2 linked regions of the Tribolium castaneum genome follow. The protein of the gene in region 1 interacts with the protein of each later gene in a pairwise test. Links are inferred from orthologs where the notes say so. Each region holds a gene or a part of one and is shown on either strand. Other genes may lie near its edges. The genes, in order: phytanoyl-CoA dioxygenase, peroxisomal; Pex7.

The links.
Region 2: the proteins of phytanoyl-CoA dioxygenase, peroxisomal (region 1) and Pex7 interact in a two-hybrid assay, tested with the Homo sapiens proteins (2 studies listed by BioGRID, with this or other methods). The link is inferred for Tribolium castaneum from reciprocal best matches to the Homo sapiens genes PHYH and PEX7.

Annotation. Positions count from the first base shown.
Region 1 is NC_087396.1:19,983,651-19,988,115, reverse strand, and holds phytanoyl-CoA dioxygenase, peroxisomal, read left to right. Parts: upstream 1-1,486; 5' UTR 1,487-1,622; intron 1,623-2,197; 5' UTR 2,198-2,248; coding exon 2,249-2,256; intron 2,257-2,308; coding exon 2,309-2,425; intron 2,426-2,477; coding exon 2,478-2,589; intron 2,590-2,769; coding exon 2,770-2,937; intron 2,938-2,990; coding exon 2,991-3,134; intron 3,135-3,186; coding exon 3,187-3,321; intron 3,322-3,372; coding exon 3,373-3,510; intron 3,511-3,564; coding exon 3,565-3,639; 3' UTR 3,640-3,682; downstream 3,683-4,465. Other genes in the region: vacuolar fusion protein MON1 homolog, read right to left, coding at 1-205, 251-494, 541-738, 785-1,080; protein phosphatase 1 regulatory subunit 42, read right to left, coding at 3,683-3,798, 3,843-3,968, 4,016-4,367, 4,416-4,465. UniProt on the Homo sapiens protein: Catalyzes the 2-hydroxylation of not only racemic phytanoyl-CoA and the isomers of 3-methylhexadecanoyl-CoA, but also a variety of other mono-branched 3-methylacyl-CoA esters (with a chain length of at least seven carbon atoms) and straight-chain acyl-CoA esters (with a chain length longer than four carbon atoms).
Region 2 is NC_087395.1:23,090,656-23,094,248, reverse strand, and holds Pex7 (peroxisomal targeting signal 2 receptor), read left to right. Parts: upstream 1-1,461; 5' UTR 1,462-1,556; coding exon 1,557-2,510; 3' UTR 2,511-2,774; downstream 2,775-3,593. Other genes in the region: mucin-2, read right to left, coding at 1-290, 337-597, 647-841, 890-1,098, 1,142-1,158. UniProt on the Homo sapiens protein: Receptor required for the peroxisomal import of proteins containing a C-terminal PTS2-type peroxisomal targeting signal. Specifically binds to cargo proteins containing a PTS2 peroxisomal targeting signal in the cytosol.

The sequences.
Region 1 (4,465 bases):
AGTAGGACACATGTCCGTATAAAAAACCACTAGCGTCAAACCGTGGAAGACATAACGGTGTCCAACTTTCAGCCGTTTTGAGGCTTTCGGAGGCTTGGACTAAGTTAAATATTAAATGGAGATCGGCCGGGTGAAGGCAATATTTTTTCATGCGGACTAGAGTGATAAGTTTATTGTTTGCGAGAAGTATTGCGAAAACTAGGTTCTGGAAACGATATTTTAAAAATGTTTTTTGAAACAATTTTTTTACTTTAATTTTGCTGCAAGCTCCGACAATGGCCGAGCTGATGTTGTCTCTCACTGAGGACGCAAGTGACAGACACTGGACTGCGCCCAAAGTGAACGAAGGCTCCTTCTCTGAGAAATCTAGCAAGTGGTCAATGAGTCTCTCAACACCTGCCAGAAGCCGTCTTAAGTCATAATTCTGGCGTTGCTCGTAAATTTTATTAAGTCTAGTCAAGGTTAAGACACTGGCTATTTGATTAAATACGTAGCTGCAATAAACAAAACTAGAAAAAATAACAAAGTGGGAACCCTCACTTTAGTTGTGAACACAGCTGATTTACACTTTCCTGCGTTCGAGAAACGGCGACTAAAATTAACGGTTTCTTAATTAAAAAGACAAACTTCGTGTCCCCGGCATGGATGCTCCTAATGGTGTCCTCATTTGACTGTACGAAGCTAACCAGTGTTTGCATAACACCGAACAACCAGGCTAGCTTATCCTCGTTTCCATATCTGAGACATAAGTTGTAAAGAAAAAAATTATGCAAACGATAACAACCTCGAATAGATGGGTTTCCCGGCCATGCTGAGGACAAAGACATGTTTGTTCTTACAAGCCCACTCCTTTGACTGGACGAAATCGTCCTCTTCGTTGTTAATTGAGAGATTCTCGCTGATTTCGTCAAAATTCTCGACGTTGCTGTTTTCCACGTTTGAGTCGTTTTCCGCGAGTGCATTCAGGTTTTTGATTTCTTCGAGGCTCGAGCTCATGTGATCAAAATTGTCAAAGGAGTCGGTGGTAACAAGGACACTCTCGGAGGCTGCCCCCGGCTCAACTTCCAGATTCGAGGACATTTTTTGTTGGGGGTTTTAGTTCACGTGAAATTCACGAACATTCTTGAAAAATCGTCGGAATTTTGTTGGGTTTTTGAGATTTCAATGCATTGCTCTTTGATTGATTGATTTCTAACCTCAACCTGACATTTTTTTGACAGTTGTCAATTTTGGTGCCAACCTTCTAACTAATACTTCTAACTAAAACTCTTAAGGCAGGGCTTTAAGGTGGTTAAACAAGTTAAGAGCAACTATTATATTAATTGAGTTTCCGCTTTTCCAAGTTTTTTAAATACGTAGTTATTGTGTAAAAAATAAGAGAATGTCATTTTTTATTTTATTGCACTACATTTTGGTTTCAAATTAATTTTGATTTTGGTAGTAGTATGTTATTTCAAACTTGAAAATAAATACATCACTGAAATACACTTAATTTATTTAAAAATATAGCATTACCAACCTTCTAACTAGATAAATAGTGAAATTTTAGTTAGATCATCTGTTGGGTATGCAGAGGTCAAGACTTTTATTATTTACTGTACTTTGCGTGCTGTGATAACGAGGTGAGTGTTTAACAACTAACAAACAACGATAATAAGAAAAAGCATTTGTTAGTTCCTTTTTACGCACAAATAATTATTATAGTGTGTTACAATTTGAGCGATATGTATATCTACGGCTTAAGTAGTAGGTACTTAAGTAACAAAATCGAGAAAAAAATAGACAGTATGTTTAATTATAAGTTTAAGGATCGGTTTACAGAAAGCGAAATTAAGATTTAATTCGAAATTAAACTAATTCGAATTAAGTTGCCATTTAAAATGCATTGACAAATGTCAAGTTAATCGCGATTAAAATTTAATTGCAATTAAAATTTTCTGTAAACCGGCTCTTACTGTTCTCGTATCATTGATTTATTTATTTAAACGGTGGGATGCTTGACATTTGATTAAAAACAGTACAAGTAAATTCAAAGTAATTGTTTATTATTGAGTATCTGTTCGATAATGTGTTGTTATTACTTACTACTGACACTGAAATCATTAAGTACATGTTTTTTGTATTGTTATAAATAAATGCTTCAATGACGCAACATAATTCAAGTGTATTTAATAAACAAGATAATTTTATGTTTTAGTGTATTATTCGGACAAGTTTCTTAAGAGAATTGTCTGCGTTACCGAACAAAATGGGAAGGTAATTTAGTTAAACAAAAAATTAAGTGCATATTAATAAGTACAATTTTTAGATTTAGGTATACTCAAGACGGTGGTGTTCTAACATACGAACAACGCCAATTTTATGAAGATAATGGATATATTGTGATAAAGAACAATGTTAGTCATGCCTTATTGGATGAAATTCAGTAATGTTTCCTTTAATTTTCTTTAAATATTTTATTATTATTTTTAATACAGAGATAGATTCATCAAAATATGCGACGGAGTGGCTGACCCTGGATTTATGACTGTTATGAAAGACCCTTCTTTAAAACATAAAGGTGTCAGAGGGCAATATTTAATAAATAAGGTATGATAATAAAAATTGCTACGTTAAGTTTTTGTGAATACAAAAGCATTTGCTGTTGAATGCTTCATTTTGTTCTATACTCATGTGTTTTTTTTAATATTTCTTTCAAAATTTTACATTAATAGTTAAGAAATTAAGTATTTATGATAGGAAACGCTGAAAACATGAAAAAAATTTCAGATCCAAGATTTTCTTTACGATGAAGTTCTTTTCAAATATTGTTCGGACAAACCAGTGGTTGATGTCATTGAGAGTATAATAGGCCCCAACATTACGGGGGCTCATTCCATGCTAATAAACAAGCCCCCTGATGCTGATCCTGGTGCGTCTTTGCATCCTCTACATCAAGTATTTTTTGCTTATTTTTCTAGTAAAATTTGAAATTGTGATAAAAATTTTAGGACCTACATTATTTTCCCTTTAGACCTGCAGACCGAATTGCAGCGTCATGGACCGCAATGGAGCGAGTCGATGAAAATAATGGTTGTCTTTACGTAATTCCCGGAAGTCACAAATGGGAATTGTACCCCCATACTTACCCTCAAGTATTTTTTTATTGCTTTAAAATTAATTAAACGTTTATTTTTTTAATTCAAGGGATACAAAAATCGACTGTATCATGGTGTTCAAGGCCTTGATCATTTACCAAAAGTGAACGTTGTGATGGAAAAAGGCGATACAGTCTTTTTCCACCCCATTCTTTTGCACGGCTCGGGACCTAATCGAACAAAAGTATTTTTTCTCGAATTAATTTCAGCCTAATTTTTAAACTATTCCTGCCAGGGTTTTAGGAAAGCGATTTCTTGTCACTACGCTGATAGCAACTGTTACTTTATCGATGTTAGAGGCACACTTCAGGAACATATCGCTGAAGAGATTGAAACTCTAGCTAAGAAAAAGGGGGCGCCTATGAAATTTGTCGTACGTTTGGTTGAGAAATTTAAAAAAACATGAAATTTATTTACTCATTTTTAGGAGATTTGGAAGGCTAAGAGCCGCTTAGTTAGGGGAATCCCTGGCAATTTCCAAAACTTGGAGAGCCATTTGTAAAAAATAACGGGAAAGGGTTAATAATTTGTAAAAATTGTAAATTTTATATTTTTAAATGTGAGAATAAAGTGTCGACATTTGACGATGACTTTCGTTTTTGCGTTTTTTTGTGATTCTTACTGAGCTGTCGCAACTTGGCAACATGTTGCGGCTTGGGTACTGCAAAATGAAGTGAGCAACATAAATGTGATAACAAAACTTACGTGTTCTCCACGGAATGTAAACTGCGTTTTTTTCATCGAATATTTCGTCGTCTAATTCCTTATTTTGCTTCAATATACTGATCGATACCGCTTTTTGAATGGCGGACGAGTAATTTTTCGACAATTCTGTACAAAAATTTGAACACGCGAACAAAACGCTCGTAAACATTTACCTGGAACCTTGTTTGCCAAATTTACGCTTTTGTGTAATCTCTGGGCGATGCGTTCGCCGTGAAGCCGCTTCAAAAAATTTCGGGTGTGGTCGGAAATATTTTTTTGGTCCAGTGTGTCTAAACAATAGGCGTTGGCGATAATTTCCTCCTTGTACAGCCGGTTTTTGCAGATGGGGTTGGCGGCGAGAACTAGGTCTTTCAAATAAAACCAGTCTTTTATAACTCCGCAAACCTCGTCAATGTTACTGAGTTCGTTATGAGAGGCATTGAACACTCTTAACGATTTAAGGGGCGCTAAAGACGAGATCGTCTGGATTTTATTGTACGATATATTGAGGATTTGGAGCGTGTGCTTTAAAGAAATCATTAATATCGGGGCTTGGATCAGTCTTACACGCACTGATAAGGCATTTACGCTTCTGGGGTCAAAACACAGGCAGTTTCCTTCAA
Region 2 (3,593 bases), on another chromosome or scaffold:
CTTTGGCTTGATGCGGGTCAGAGTCTTGACACTTGTAGTGGTGGTGATGGTTTTGGCGGTAGTTGTGGGGGTGGAAGTAGTGACGGGGTTTCGCGGTAATAGGATGATGGGTGGCGGTCTGGTAATGATTTGAGGAGCGAGCGGAAGGACGGTTTGCTGTGGTAGTACCGGCATTATGGTACCGTTGGCCAAAATCAAAGTGCCGGGGCCGAGGGGCGGCATGGAAGCAACGGTCTTGGCCGCTTTCGACGACACCAAAGGATTAGCAACAAGAGTTGAGTTCGTAATGACTGAAATTATTTTTTTAGAATGGATCAAACAAAAACATTCAATTACCAGTGGAAGAACCACCCAAAATATTGTTTGAAGGCGCGTTTGTGATTATGTAACACGGTTGTGTGGCATTCGGTTGCGACAACACAATCACACATTTTGAAGTTGGTATTGGTTTAATTTTCTTTTTCTTCGAGGGGCGCAATTTTTTAGAGTCGGACCTGTTCAAAATTGCTTTTCTGTGCTTGGGCGTGCTGTTTTTGTTCCGGCTCTTATTTGTGAATTTGCGGCCTTGGAGTTTCTTGGCCGAAGCATTATTTTCCTCTACAAATCCAAATTAAGGACACACTTTTTTGTATTTTTTGCACCTTACTGTCGAGCTCCTTCTTTTGTAAAATCTTGGCCTGCTCGGGCATAATTTTATTACACCAATTAAACGGAGGTTTGAACTTCCTGAGGGAGCACCCTGGCGGGATTGTGATCTTCGCTTCACGTAAAAGGGCGCACAACTGCTCATTTTTACTGAGAAGTTTCCTGATACGTTCTTGCAATTTTTTAAGCTCTTCGCCTAAAAAAGGGACTACAATTGGTGGCGTCAACTACCCTTAAAATTTACCCTTGATTTTTTTAGCCGGTTCGTCATTGTCTTGCGAGACTAGGGTTTTAACCTTGGTTTGGAGCTCCTCAATGTAACTGGCAGCATTACGCAAAATATCGATTTTACTAACGTTCGTAGCCGGGTCATAGCATGGCAATAATTTACATAACGTGGCAAAAGCCTCATTTAAACGATTCCTTCGTTCTTTTTCCCATTCGCGACACTTACTAAAAAAAACTTTAAGTAAACGAAGCTACGTAAGACACTAACCTTGACTCTCTGGGCATAATTATAACAATAAATTAAGCGAAACCGCATTTTCAATAAATTAGAACGATATTTCAAGCCTTTAGGTCCTCAACAGATAACAAATTTATTTACAACATAACCTCCTAATGTCAAGAATTTTGGGAAGTGGTTACCGTCACAATTTTTTTTAGCATTTTTTTTTTGTAAAAAAAATAATAAATTTCAAACGATATAAAAATTATAACCCCGCAAAGACATTGCACAACAATGCGTGTTATTTTTAATTAATTAGGGCCACTGCGGGCGCTTTGTTGCGTGTTTGTCGGCCGATTGGTGTGGCTTTGGCCACTTTCGGCCCTTGACAGCCGTTTGACAACTGTCAAACCGCGTTAAATTTTAAATATTAAAAGAATGAAAATGTCGTAAGTGCGCGATTATGGCCACTTATCTCACCCCGAACCGGCACGGCTACAGCGTCCGGTTCTCCCCCTTCAACCCCGACCGCTTGGTGGTGGCGACAAGCCAGTACTTCGGGCTGGCCGGTGGTGGCACCCTCTTCATCCTAGACGTGAGCCCCGAAGGCAAGCTTTGCGAGACGCAGTCGTACCAATGGTCCGACGGCCTGTTCGACGTCGTGTGGTCGGAGTGCAACCCCAGCCTGGTGGTGAGCGCGTCCGGGGACGGCGGGCTGCAGCTGTGGGACCTGTCGTCGCCCAACAGCCCCCCGGTGACGCTGTGGGAGCACAAGAAGGAGGTTTACTCGCTGGACTGGTCGCGGACGCGGCAGGAGCAGCGCATCCTGAGCGCGTCCTGGGACTGCTCCATCAAGCTGTGGGACCCCAATCGACAATCATCGATCAGCACGTTCTGTGGCCACTCGCAGCTGGTCTACAACGCGATGTTTTCCAACCATATGCCCAACTGCTTCGCGTCCGTGTCGGGGGACGGGAGCTTGAAGCTCTGGAGCACCCTGAACCCCCAGAGCCCCACGTCGTCGTTTCGGGTGCACGATGCGGAGGTGCTGGCCTGTGATTGGTGTAAATACGACGAAAATATGCTGGCGACGAGTGGGTCGGACGGACTGATTCGCGGGTGGGACATTAGGAATTACACGCAGCCGGTGTTTCAATTGAAAGGGTGCGAGTATGCGGTCAGGAGGGTGCAGTTTTCGCCGCATAACGCCACGGTTCTGGCGTCGGTCAGTTACGATTTTACGACAAGGATTTGGGATTTTAAACAGGGTTGTGACGCTTTAGAGACTATTAAGCATCACTCGGAGTTCGTGTATGGGCTGGACTGGAATACTCATAGAAAGGGGCAACTGGCCGATTGCGGGTGGGACAGTTTGGTTCATGTTTTTACCCCAAAATGCCTCGATAGTTATAACTGAAGACTGGAGTCAGTTCCTAATATTTGACCAATTGGTTCAATCATGAAGAAGGTCGGCTCGTATGAATGAAATGAGGTGGCAACGATTATTCTGAAACGGTTTTTGTTCATACGACCCTTGTAGCCAATTTACAGATAATGTTGATTTGTTTTATGGGTTCATGACGAAGACTGAAATGTCTCTAAATTGTTTTAACCGTAATTTGTTGCTTTTATTTTTTATATTTGTATTGAAAATTCTGAAATAAATTTGTAAAAAAATTAACTGCTTTTTATTCTCTCCATTTTAAAATTTTAATGGTCGAGACGCTTGCCTTCATGAATATGAAAAAAAAATTGAAACTCATTCTAGCAAAGTTTTATGAACTTTTATATGCATATACAACACACTCGAGTTGTTAAAAGTCCAAAAAAGTCCATATTTTTTGATGTTTGATTTTTTCAATTTTTGTCGCGATTTTGGTCGATTTCGAGTACCCGGAACATTTATCGAGCAATAACTCCGAAACTATTAGAGATAACCCTACGAAGTTTACTATCATTGGAAAGCTCTTTAAATTATCTATTTTTTTCAAAAAAGATTATTGTTCTCCGACTAATAGTTTTCGAGCAAATTGCTGCTAAATGCAAAAATTGGTAAAAAACTATCGTGAATTTGGCAATTTTCTCGATGCCAATCGATTCCCCGGATCATTTTGAATAGGTGAGGATCAAAACAGTCCCACTTTTTTGAATAGTTTAGCCGTAAATGAGAAAATAAAAAAAATTAAAAAAAAGTTGACACCCCCCCCTTAAAATCGGTCAATTTTTAAAGTGTCTCTAAATCAAATGAAACCTATTCTATCTTATAGATTTTGATGTGCTCTTTACGATGGAACAAACCGTTCTCTTGTAGCTCTTTTAGTTTGGCCGTAATCGGCGTTTGAAAATTGAATTTTTTTTGCGAGATATCGCCTTGAGTCCTATGCCATTTTGTAGAGTTCTTTATTCCGGTTATCCTCTATTTTTCCGTTTCTCGATATCTTTAATAGTTTCGCCGTAATTGGCGATTGAAAATTGAAAAAAAGTGAAAATGGAAACCTTT